Linked DNA regions of Drosophila melanogaster. The protein of the gene in region 2 purifies or fractionates together with the protein of the main gene of each other region. This does not show direct contact. Each region holds a gene or a part of one and is shown on either strand. Other genes may lie near its edges.

Region 1 (6,147 bases), 190 kb from region 2:
CCGGGCCCTGTTATCAGTGCAGGCGGCATCGAGCATGGCCAGCCAGGCAGCCAGCTCGTTCGGGCGGCATCGTTTGCCGCTCGGGAGTCCAAGGACTTCGAATCTGGCTTTCAGCCAAGCAGCCAGCCAGCCAGCCAGTTGCATTGTCCGCACTCACACAGTCGCACTTGGCACCGGGCCGGCACCGGTTCGAATCGCTCCTGTTCCTGCTACTGCTCCACAGCTGCGACTGCAACCGCTAAAGAGCCGCCAGTTGGAGAGCTGCTGCAGAACCACCATCATGCACACTATGGCAATGAATTACTACGTGGAGCGCAGTGACTACGAGGGCTACGGTCGCCACAGTCCCACGGGGGATAGTTGCTCGCGCTCCTCCACGTCTTCCTCCGAGGATTCAGTGATGCAGCCGTATTCCCGCCAAGTACGCTAGATATTAAAGGATATATTTAATTAATATTTATATTCAAGAGCAAACTAATAATATGTAATATGTAATCAATCTAATCAGAATCACCTTCTCTTGTCATTGCAGTCCAAAAAGTTCCGATGCGTCTATCGAGGATGTGTTGGCGTGGTAGACGATCTCAATGGAGTCGTGCGTCACATTAGGAAAACACATTTGGGGTAAGTGTACAAGTGGGAATGGCACTGCTATCAGAGGATTAGGTGGCGAGCAGCAAGTGGGCGGGGCCTTGACTTAGCCACCCGACCTTCTCGTTCCTTCCCCGCCAGCACTTCCACACGCCCGGAGCGGGTGCTGAAGGTGGTGTTGGTGGTGCCTCGAAAGTAGAGCACTCGAGCACAGTAAGCAGGTCACACGAGTGCGGCGTAGCCCCTCTCCAGCACGCAGATTACTTTGCAATGCGCACCTGCAGCAGCAGGCCAGCAATAGCAGCAGTGGGTGGCAGGTGCAGTGGTGGTGGCGCTTTTGAGGCCAAGGTCCAATTCAAAGCGCCCACACACGATCCGCGCTGAGCTTTGACACTTGCCAATCTCGTTTCCTATGTAAATCGAGAGGGGTTCCAAGTGGGGGTGCACAAATAAAAGACGCGGTGGGGCTTTGTTTTTTGCTGCTTTTGCTTTGACATTGTTCTCTCATCTGCATACATGCGGTATATCTATTCGTATATATATATATATATATATAATTGTATATGTTTTGCTTTATATTTATGTTTGCAGTGTATTGGGTGTTGTAGTGTTTTTGTGTTTCTACTTGCTGCTCTATAAAGTACAGTCCGCAAACAGGATACGAATGCGAGAATGTCGGGGTGTGTATAGGTTGGCGTACCTAACGCGTATATCTAGGTGTATATGCTTATATAGCGCTCGGCTTGCTGGCAGCGATATAGTTGGGTCTATGACAGGATCTGGGCTTGGATGCGTAACTTAGGATCGAACGAGGTGTGCCTCCACTGAACTGAATTAATCATAATCGTATTGGGGGTATAAGTATAATCTCTCGACCCAGGTCGGCCTTTAGTAATGATATCGTAGCTTAGCACTAAATCCTATGAGCAATTTCTTACATTTTGAAACGAACTAAACATAAACACGGTCGACAAGTACAAAAATTGAAACTAGCTGGAGGTACACACAATATATAGTATAATAACACACATAATAGATACAGTACAATCTGAATTTGTTGGTTTGTTCAAAGCTTACGGCAAAATCTGCAATTGGCAATCGGCATATTAACTAATAAACTTCCTGAAGCGCAGTCCCGTGCGGGCTAAATATCGGTATTACAATTCACATACGTTAAAAACTCTAATTACTATGGGCTTAAATTAGCTTAGGCTTATTAATATGCTGCGTGTTCTAAACAACTACATTAGTCTGCCTTGATTTGTTGATTGTTTGTATGTTGGTTACTTGCTGGGATGCTGGATTTCCTTCGATTTGTCCGATCGATTAAATGGGTAAGAGAAGGGAGGATAAGTATAGCACGATAGGGAAAGAGGTTGTTAAAAGGTATGCAAAACAGAACAGAACTAACTTTCGAAAATAGATAAAAATATTTTACACTTTTCAATAAATAACCTAATCATAAACTGTAACAAAACAAAAATTGGCAAAATTAGGATCAAGCGTAGAAAGTGAGCGGACTTAGAGCAAAGGGAATTCCCAGAAAGATGTATTGTTATTCGATCCACCGCCCCCCTAGTGCGGATGCATAAGTCCATGAGTGATGTCCATGCCTTCGCCTATTCCGTTCACGCTGATCCCTCCATTTAGCATGCTTGAAGCTATAGAAATTATAATCACATAAGCAATGAGATTATTATATCAAGGATTTGTTCTTACAATTGCGTGATCCTTGCGTGTCCACTTGTGTCCAGTACTGCTCAGATGGACTTTGGGTACTAGTCCCCGGCGGTGCCTGGACCGGGGCCCCCGTGTACCGAAAATACGGATTCTTAAGGTCCAGGGTGTTGCTCGACGAAATCAGCGTGCCTTCGATGTGTAGGTCGATGGTCACGTCATACGACTGCCGCCGATTGGCCTCCAGTAAGACACGGCCGGTCAGCGTCTGGCCCTGCTTAATAAAGATGGGCATGGGCAGAAGGCAGCGAACCTGATACCAATGTGTCAGAGGCGCTGTGGGCGACGTTGAGAGCCACACATTCTGGCTGCTGCCGCTAAACTCCACATCAAACCAAAAGGCCAGCCCATGGCAGATGCCAGTTTGCAGAATGTGAAACTCCAGGGGGATGCCTGCGGAAAGTCAACAGTTGGCCATTGTCGCAAATCACTTTTTCGGGTACTTACTTATCAAATGCAGATCGTCCTCCTTATCGTTGAGAAAGTCGCACACGTGCCGCACCGACTTGGCCATGCATATGCGGATGTCGAAGGTGTCCACAATGGGCTGTCGGAAGTACTCCTTCATGCCCTCTTTGTGCAGCGTGGTAAGGTCAACGCCGTGGAACGCCGACTGGTACCAGAAGTTGGCCTTGTTATATTGTTCCGAGTAGAGCGATTCGTCCGAAAAGGGTGCTATGTGCAAGTCGCCGTGCGTGGGGTACATCTTTCCTTGCGGCTTGAGCCACTTTCTGGCATGCAGATAGGTCTCCAACATGCGCTCGTTGTACAGCATATAGCCCATAGGCTCTGATATGATAACGTCCACTTTCTCGGGCAGCTCGATCTCCTCGATCTTCCCCGGTATCACAGAGATCTTATGCTGCACATTGTTGGACTCAACCAGCTGCTGGGCGTACTGGGCCATGTTGGAAGCCTCAATGGCGTACACTTTGGCAGCTCCCGCCTGCACGGCAAAGAAGGAGAGAATGCCCGAGCCGGCGCCCACATCCAGGACGATCTTGTCCTGAAAATCCACAGCATTGCCTAGAATGGCCCGCTGATACGTGCTTGTCCTTACATAGTCCTGCATCATGTTCTGCTGCTGACTGAGGTAGCCGTAGAACTGGAAGTACTGCGAGGCGGACGACTCCTCAGTGCGCTGCGAGAACACGGACTTGGGTCTCAAGTGCTTCACGTTCTCCACCACTTTGCGGAAGAGCTGCTGGTCCTGCTCGCTGGCAAACCTCAGCACTAGATTGTCGGCGTCCAGGGAAACGGCATAACTCCTTCGTCCCATTTGGGCGGCATCCGTATCGGCGGCTATCATGTACTCCTTGAGCACGTGGCTCCGGTCGTCGTCTGGTGGAGAGATTGGCGATATAAGGAACGGGTTTTATGAAACATTCGATGTCCTCTTTTACCTGACACAACACGGAGGACGACACCCTGGGAATCGTAGCTGCAGAGCAGCGTGCAGCTTCCCTTGTATTTGTTGGTAAACTCTAGCTTCTGCTCGTCGGCAATCGAGCTGATTACCACGCCGCAAAATTGGCAATTGCTCAGCGGCGAAACGGAGGCGGCGGTGGCCAGTTTTCGGGCCTCCTCGGGTCGCAGGCTGGACATGTTGGCTGGCTTTTTGGAGGGTAAAGAGGCAAAGGAACAAAGCAGGACCACAAGCGTCTTTTTTCCCTTGTTAATTGACAATGTAGACCTCGCTATACACACGCACGCACGCACACACACAAACACTCTAGCACACGCACACACACAGATACGCAGATGCAGACAGACAGACGCGCAATTTTTTCTATCTGCAAAATTTTCCACCACACACAAAATGGCTGGTGACTCGGGCAGCTGGATTAATTGGCGCTGGGAACTATATAGTGCGCTGCTTTTCAACTCGGACGATTACTCAAAATCGATCGCTCTTGTTGATTTCGTATTGATTTCACACGGAACATGCGTTCTTTTTTGCAAAAAGTGCTAGAGCTGGAACAAATAGTTGAGGCTAGAGGTGGGACCAAGTCCGATGCTTTTCGATAGGATTATTACCGCGCACTACCTTAAGACTAAGCGATTTTTCAGTCTAGTGAGATTTACAAAAGAATTGTATGCAAGGAAGCTTGCATCAATCTCAATTTCATTTTGAAATATAATTGAAAAAAAATAGTGCGGGGAAAAGAAATGTAAAAAGAAATAATATAGTTTTTTAAGTGGATAGAATCAAGGTTCAGAACTCTGGAACACTTCTAGCAGGGCCTCGAACCTAATGTGGGTGGTCGGCTAGTTGGCAACGCTAGTACAAAAAAGCGGTCGCTTGAAATGGAGAGTAGGTACCTAAATGAGGTACCTTAATAAATATTGACCAAAGTTTAACAGCAATTTTTAGCATTCATTTTAAAATATTTTTCCTATTTGTTTGAATTGAATTAAATCGAATAAACAACGTTAGACAACTTAAGTTCGTTAATTTAAAAGCTATCAATCTGATTTGAAGTAATACCGAACCTAGGTACATAACTGAAGCAAACTTGCCATCACTGACACATCCTTCTAATCAATTTCGCTATTTTTCGGTGGCATTGCAGAAAGGACTCCCATCGCTCCGCGGATGATGACGGAAATGAGGAGGACTTCTACCTCGAGGATGCCGACGACGACGTCGAGCAGGTGAAGCCCACTCTGGCCTCCGAGCCGACTCTGAGTCACCGGGACATGGCGCGTCCGCCGCACGAGGATCCCGAGTACCAGAAGCAGATTGTTGGCAACTTCAAGTGGGTTCTCTTGGTGCACGATATAGATACATTTAATGACATTATCCTTTTTCGATTTTCCAGGCAAGGACGCGGCGGTAGCCACTATAACCATCTAGCGCAGTCGCACGGACGCACCATCAGTGGCAGCAACATCCCGAGCACCCACCAGCAGCAGCTGCAGAACAACAACACCAGCTGCATCCCCACTTCGCACCTAGCCCACCACAACTACACATGCCCGGCGGCGACGGCGACAGTGGGCAGCTACTCCTCCACGGGGACGGGGTCGGTGGCGGCCAGTTCATCAGCCTCGCCGATCGGCAAGCACGCTCGCTCGTCGTCCTCCCGTCCGACCCACTCGGTAGCGCCATATCCATCGCCGACGTACGTCCAGCAACAGCAGCACCACCAACACACGCACCACCACAATTACGCCGGCAGCAGCGGCAGCAGCAACAGCAGCAGCAGCAGCAGTCCAGTGATCCACAGCAATAGCAGTGCCAACAACATGCTGCAGCAGCTGTCGCAGCAGAACGTCACAGTGACGGCGCACCACAGCCAGCAGCAGCAGCAACTGCAGCAGCAGCAACACCACCAGCAGCAGCAGCAACACAGCCACCAACAGCAGCAGCAACATCTCCTGTCCAGTGTGACGATCACGCCCAATTTCCATCCGGCGCAGCAGCAGCACCACCACCAACCGATGCGCGGCCACCAGCAGCAGCATCCACAGACAACTGCCGGCAACATGGTTGCCCAAAACAACAGTAACAACCACAGCAACGGAAGCAATCCGCTGCAGCAGCAACAGCACATGGCGCAACAGGTAGCCGTCAAGCATACGCCCCATTCGCCCGGCAAGAGGACGCGTGGCGAGAACAAAAAGTGCCGCAAGGTGTACGGCATGGAGAAACGCGACCAGTGGTGCACCCAGTGCCGGTGGAAGAAGGCGTGCAGTCGCTTCGGCGACTGAAAGCGACAGAAGTCGTCGACGGAGGCGGCAAACCAGGCGTCGGCGCACCAGTCCAAGGCAGCAACAGCAGCATCATCAGCAGCATTATCATCATCAGCATCAGCA
Region 2 (6,645 bases):
TGCGGCAGCAGATAGTCTACCACCTCGTGATTACCTAACTGGCAGGCGTAGTGCAGAGCCGTTCGTCCAGTCCGATCAGCCAGCGTGAGATTGGCTCCGGCTAGCCGAAATGACTCCAATCGCTTGATCTTGCCCCGCTCGGTAAGGGCACGTAGTAGCTCCGCCTGGACCAGCGGCTGATCGTTCAGCTTGGCGCCGTTCTTGAGCAGAGCGTTGATTATATCATGGTTGTCCGTGTCGATGGCCTCGTGCAACGGCGTGCGGTTGAATCGATCGTGGACATTTACCGGACAGCCGGCGGAAATTAGAAAGCAAACGCAGTTCAGTTTGCCCAGGAAGCAGGCCAGGTGCATGGCGGAGCGACCATCGCAGTTGGTGTCGCACAGATTGGCGCCGTACTGCTTAAGATCGCCCAACTTGTGGACATCACCTTCGGTGACCGCGGCCGCCACCAAAGCGGGATAGAATGTGGAGCACATCTGCTGCCGTTCCATCGCCGTCGACATGTGCAATGTGCGGGCCACGCCCTCGATCAGATCAATGTCGTTAATCTTGGCAACCTTATTGGTGGTCAGCTCTCCGCGCAAACTTAGTAGCATCACCTTCTTCTTGTTGGGAATGTCCCACTCCGGCTTGGACAGCACATAGGCCAGTTTGGTAAAGGCTGCCTCCTGAGTCATATCGTAGCCGGGTATTACGCCCACTTCCATCAGACCCTGGCTTGTCTCGTAAATGTTGGCCACCATGCCCGCCGAGCACTGCGTAATGTTGACAATAATAACGCCTCTGTGAACCGCCTCCCTCAGTTCGTCCAGCAAGTCCTCACGATTAACCGGAAAATTGCCGGCCCCAAAGGTCTGGAGGACAACACCTTTCGTTGGCTCTTTCAGGATTGCCTGCACCACACTGGCACTTATTCCCGGGTAAATACGCAGCAGCGCCACGTTCTTTTCGAGTTCCGAATGAAGTGAAAATGGTTTAATATTGCACGGTCGGAAGATTTGGCGGCTGTTGATCTCAATGTTGACACTCGCCCGACCCAATGGTGCAAAATTTGGTGAGTCCAGTGCGTGAAAAGAGTCAGAATTGAGCTTCGTGGAGCGACAGCCACGTAGAATCTTGTTGCCGAAGAAGACCAGCACTTCGGGTATACTGTAATTTCCTGCTATGAGAAGTGCGCCCAAGAAGTTCTCCCGCCCATCGCTGCGGGCTTCAAAGATCGGAATCTGTGCCCCAGTGAATACCACGGGCTTGTTCAGGCTCTCAAGCATGAACGCTAGTGCCGAGGCGGAGTAGGCTAGGGTATCCGTTCCATGGAGGATCACAAAGCCGTCGTAGGACTTGTATGTCTTCTGCGAAAAAAGTTAGTTGCATATTTTGTATTAACCTGATGATCCTCGACTCTCAACTTACTCCCACTTCGTTGGCAATGCGCTTCCAGTCGCAGAAGCCCATGCAGCTGGAGTCCATCAGTGGGCAGAACTCAATCAAATCGTAAAGGACTCTATACGGAGCTCCAGACACTGCGGGTAGCACCATCATGGGACCATCATTATCCTTGCTGGTGTAATTCCTGTCGTGGCAGCTGGGAAACTCTTGAAGCTGCCGAGCCAGCACCTTGGGCGCGGTGTGCAGTACTGATGAGAAACAATTGATTAGTACACGGACAAGAGCCATTGATATACCCACCTCCGGACTCGTTGCGGATCATTCCGATGGTTCCACCCACGTAGATGACATGGACGCGAGCCTCCTTCTTCAAACAACCGCACTTCGCCGCCGGCATTTTGGGCTTTTTCGAAATTTTGAGTGGTGTCCGAAACTAAACTAAAGCGTAGTTCCAAAGGCTCAGAGTGTGACAGCAAGATCCATGAGCTTTTTGTTTTGATGCTTAATACAAGTCATAACTTTACAATATTTTCAAATTTACCACCAAGCGAAATAAACCGTTGCTTGACGAAAAGGTGGTATGACCGTATTGCATGGGAATTTAACCGAGAGTTAGAGATGTACACTGCTTCACAAGAAATATCGTTGCTTATAATTGTGGAAATGCATATACTTTCTGATGCCCAAATTAATTTTATTTCTATATTAATTATTTTTTAATGATGAATTGTTGTTTGGAAACCATCAAAAACCTTGGTGAGTTAACACATACAAAATCAAAAGTGGAAAGTTCAGCAAAACAACTAAATGCAACAGGGACCCCCCGTAAACAGTGACTCGTCATGGCTGGGAACAGTCACGACCAATTTGCCCATCCCTAGTTTCTACAGTGCAGTGCAACAAATAATAAATAAATAAATAGCCTGGCACAAAGAGTTAATCGAATAAATTGCACCCCGCAGCGCACGTCAAGTGGGTTGGGTACCGAAATCGCGAGTTATCTGCTCCGCTGACGCCGCTGCCACTGCTCCGCCATATCAGTTGCTGATTGGAGCGCTGGGAGCACGGAAGCCACACAAATAGAGGCGCATTTAGAGCAATCCCCACCGTCCGCTGCTGCGGCAGCCCGCGGGTCATCGGATTGCCATGTCCCACTTCACGCATGCCTCCAGCAGCGACCTGGTCAACCTCAATGTGGGTGGTCAGCGGTAAGAACAAAGAACCAACACATTACGGCCCACTAACGGCATTGATGACGCATGCAAACTCCATCTCACTATCCATAGCTTTTCCACGTCGCGGCAAACGCTTACGTGGATCCCGGACACCTTCTTCACGGCTCTTCTCAGCGGACGCATCTCGAGTCTCAGAGACGAGCACAATGCCATCTTTATTGATCGCGATCCGACGCTCTTCTCGATCATACTTAACTACTTAAGGACCAAGGACATCGACATCAAGAACTGCGAAATACGCGCTCTGCGCCATGAGGCCGAGTACTATGGCATCACGCCGCTGACCAAGCGCCTGGCCCTCTGCGAAGACCTTAACCACTCGTCCTGCGGTGATTTGCTGTTCTACGGATTTCTGGCGGCGCCGCCCATGCCGTCAAACGAAGCTGTGGCTGCTACTAGCGTTGACGAGTCATTGCCCTCCACTTCGGCCAGTGCGATTGGCAGTCGTCCTGGGTCCATGGTGCGCGTTCCCGAACCCTCACGCTCCTCACACTCGCGCAATTCATCATGGGATCTGCGCCTTGGTCGCACAGGTAGCACTGGCAATGGTGCCAATCCCCCAGCTCCCATGTTGCACTCACGTAATCCCTCGATTGACTTTATGCGCCACTCTCGGAACTCCTCGGCCGATCTGAACAAAGTCTTTCGAAACGAAGTTGGCCTGGTATTCAGTCCCACGCAGAACTCAAACTGGGTGGACCCGTTGCGAGTGCAAATCATTAAGGCGCACCAAAATTGGATAGCAGTGGCTTACGCACACTTTGTGACTTGCTACCGGGTGAAAGACTCCAACGGATGGCAGCAGGTGTTCACATCGCCCCACATCGACGCCACTATCGAAAGAATCGCCATCAACTCAAAGGTGAATACTTCCGCAGCAGAGCCACTGCCCAGCAAGATGGTGGCCATTTCTTACGGCAGTCAGATAAGATTGTGGAGCATTCAGGAGGGCGGCCAGAAAACGGATGTGGGCACGTTTAATTTAAATGTGCGAGTGGAGTACCTGTTCTTTATCGGCAGTCAGCTGGTGGCCCTGTCATCTTCCGGCAAGATCGGCGTCTGGCATGCGATGACGCAGCACTGGCAGATTCAGGACCTAGTGCCCGTGCTCTCATTCGATTCCGCAGGCTCTTTTTTGCTGCTGGGCTGCAACAACGGCTCCATTTACTACATAGACATGCAGAAGTTCCCGCTCCGGATAAAGGACAATGATTTACTGGTTACCGAGCTCTACAAAGATGTCACACTAGACCCTATCACGGCCATCTCGGTCTACCTTACCCCAAAAACCTCGAGCATAAGTGGCAATTGGATTGAAATTGCCTATGGCACAAAGTCGGGAGCGGTTCGAATCATTGTCCAGCATCCGGAGACAGCTGGCCATGGACCACACCTGTTCGAGACCTTCTTTGTGCACCAAAGCCCCGTAACGAAGGTGATGCTGTCGGAGAAATACCTCGTCTCCGTGTGCAGCGAATACCACCACGTGCGAACATGGCGTCTGACCCGCTTCCGGGGCATGCTCTCCACCCAGCCGGGATCCACGCCGGAAGCATCGTTCAAAATCGTGTCGCTGGAAGCTACCGATACGAGCTACAGCTATGCGGCTGGAAATGATTTTGGACCTTACGGTGACTACGACGACATGATATTTGTGCAAAAGGTGGTGCCCGAGACGGATCAGCTGTACGTACGCTTGGCCTCCAACGGTGATCGGGTGTGCGTCATTAGATCCGTAGATAGCTCCACAATTTCGGCCTTCTGTGTGCTCGAGTGCGAGGTATCGTCCCGGTTCATACTCACCGGTCACTGCAACGGCGCTATTCAAATGTGGGACCTAACCACTGCACTGGCGCTGCTCTCCAAGGATGAGCCGCAGCAGAAAATCAATGGCGGACCCGACACCAATGAGCTTCTCCGCCTACTTGACCAGTGTGAAATCAGCAATTCATCATGCACAACACCTTGTATGTCACCGTGTCTATCAGCTATGGGCAACGGCTCTGGAATGGCCTCCTCCATAGCCCGCATGAAAGCCAGCAACATAGCCCTGCTAAATCGGGAACCAGCAATGGCAATGGCCGTCCAAGCCGTCCAGCCGCCCGCTCAGGTCCAACCTGCTCTTCCAGAGGCTGTGGCGCCGGCAGCTGCTATCCCGATGGCTGACGACAACAACGAATGAGACGTGGAAGCGGCTGCTTGATTGGCGCTTGTCGGGCGCGTTTCATCGTTTACATTTCACAGGTATAGCTTAATCTTCGACTACCAGTTTATATTCCTGCAGTTCGTGGTGTGCGCCCTCATCTACGTCTGGGTGACGCGACTCACCCGCGGTCCAGCCACTGGGCCGTGATGAACTGCCAGCAGGCATTTACCCAATCAATTAATCTCCATTATATGTGCTCGATGTGTTTGCAAATGCAATGTGTATCCCGTAAACCCATTTTTTGTGCTCCTCCAAACTTGGATCGTACAGTTAGTAATTTAAAAAAAAAACGTCTGTCTTTGTTCTAGTTAAAGTTATGAAAATTAGTTAAAACCATGTAAACCAGAGTATAAGACTTCTGCAACCGATCATCTATAATTAGCACAACTCTCCTAAAGGGTGCTCCATCAGGACAGATACGAAATCGTTCGGCTTGGATAAGATTGGTTGCCTTAAGCAAAGAAAGTTCATTAAACAGCCAATCAGTTGATTGTCAACCTTGAAGATGATTACTTGTGATTAAAATCGATAGAGCGACTGCTTCAAATTCGAATCTGTCCTGTTGCATGCAATGCCACACATGAATATAATGATACGCCTTGTTGCAACCAGTAAACAGCTATACATATTCAATATAAATAAAGATAATTATACACAAAGAGATATCAAAATAGCGAGCGAGTTGTGTCATCAATAATTTATTGAACATTTTATCTTAGTTTCTTGATGGTTGAAGTGTTCCATTAACATTTATCAAATACAAATACTTGGCTTGCATTCTCGTGGGTGTTGTGTGTGTAAATACGTGTATATACGATATCCTACGCCTATACCGGACCTCAGTAAAGTAAAAAAGCAGCAAAAACGCCAAAACATATAAAAATATATATAATATACATTTGTGTATTGTAGGTAAGTTACCCCAACCCAACCCCGACCGCCATTTAAATATCATTGGCCTAAACACAACCCACTAACGACCGCCGGTGTGCTTAATAAACAATTTAAACAAGTGGCTCGTCAAGTGGGACCCCTGCCTTTAATTTACCTAAAATAGGACGCACTGGTACTGAGATAGAATAATAATAATGGAGTAGATACTTGGAGCGATTACCCACCCTCGCCCGGAAGCAATTGTCGAGCCGTTCATACAAATAGTTTGTACACAAATTCAACCTAAAGCTATGCTATATTCTAAAGGGCAAACCGATATGAAGCTGTGCCATTCTGGGATATCTGTTGTCCCGGATTTGCCCGTGGGTCAGTGACCCGTTGCCGTGCAATCTAAGACTGTCGCTTAGCGGTCGCCGTTCCTAACTACGATGAAGCGTTAATGTGTATGGGGGATCTGTGCATTGAATGGATGATATGTGTGCGTAAAGAATTGCTTAGCAAAAACTGATGAGGGGAGATCCAGCTCACTGGACACGGGCTACACGTGAAAGTAGTCGTCCACTAGCAACTGTTCACTTGGTGTAAATGCTGCCCCACTCCGCGGACTGCTCGTCTGCGTGTCTGACTCCTGATCCGTCTGCAGCGGCTCGTAGCCGGGCTCTATCCCACTGCTAGTGTTGGTCGTCGCTGTTGTCGTTGTCGCTGTATTGGACGCCGTGGTGAGATAGCACACCGACTCATAGTTAGGATCCGTTTCGCTCCCCGTGCCCGTCAGCGATTCATATTGCGAGGAGATCGGCGTGCTGGTGGCAACCGTTGAAGAGTTAAGCGACACGGAATTGGATGTGGAGCTGGGCGATGTGGGGGTCAAGCGACTGCTGCTACTGCCCGGCGTTCCTGCAACCGCATTTTCCGCTATCC

The links. Proteins that work in one complex are often made in the same cells at the same time.
Region 1: the proteins of CG9467 (region 2) and Art4 purify together in Drosophila melanogaster (affinity purification with mass spectrometry, with the first as the bait; one large-scale study listed by BioGRID). This does not show direct contact.

The regions. Positions count from the first base shown.
Region 1 is NT_033777.3:9,981,747-9,987,893, forward strand, and holds Art4 (arginine methyltransferase 4), read right to left. Parts: upstream 4,315-6,147; 5' UTR 3,934-4,314; coding exon 3,732-3,933; intron 3,670-3,731; coding exon 2,776-3,669; intron 2,722-2,775; coding exon 2,311-2,721; intron 2,253-2,310; coding exon 2,167-2,252; 3' UTR 1,070-2,166; downstream 1-1,069. Other genes in the region: Glut4EF (glucose transporter 4 enhancer factor), read left to right, coding at 533-624, 4,902-5,087, 5,151-6,042. UniProt on the Drosophila melanogaster protein: Methylates (mono- and asymmetric dimethylation) the guanidino nitrogens of arginyl residues in proteins. May methylate histone H3 at 'Arg-17' and activate transcription via chromatin remodeling. Coordinates ecdysone-mediated expression of cell death genes.
Region 2 is NT_033777.3:9,796,621-9,803,265, reverse strand, and holds CG9467 (uncharacterized protein), read left to right. Parts: upstream 1-2,239; 5' UTR 2,240-2,535; coding exon 2,536-2,597; intron 2,598-2,675; coding exon 2,676-4,806; coding exon of another isoform or gene 4,807-4,977; 3' UTR 4,978-5,497; downstream 5,498-6,645. Other genes in the region: CG8526 (uncharacterized protein), read right to left, coding at 1-1,352, 1,414-1,637, 1,690-1,786; CG8516 (uncharacterized protein), read right to left, coding at 6,263-6,645.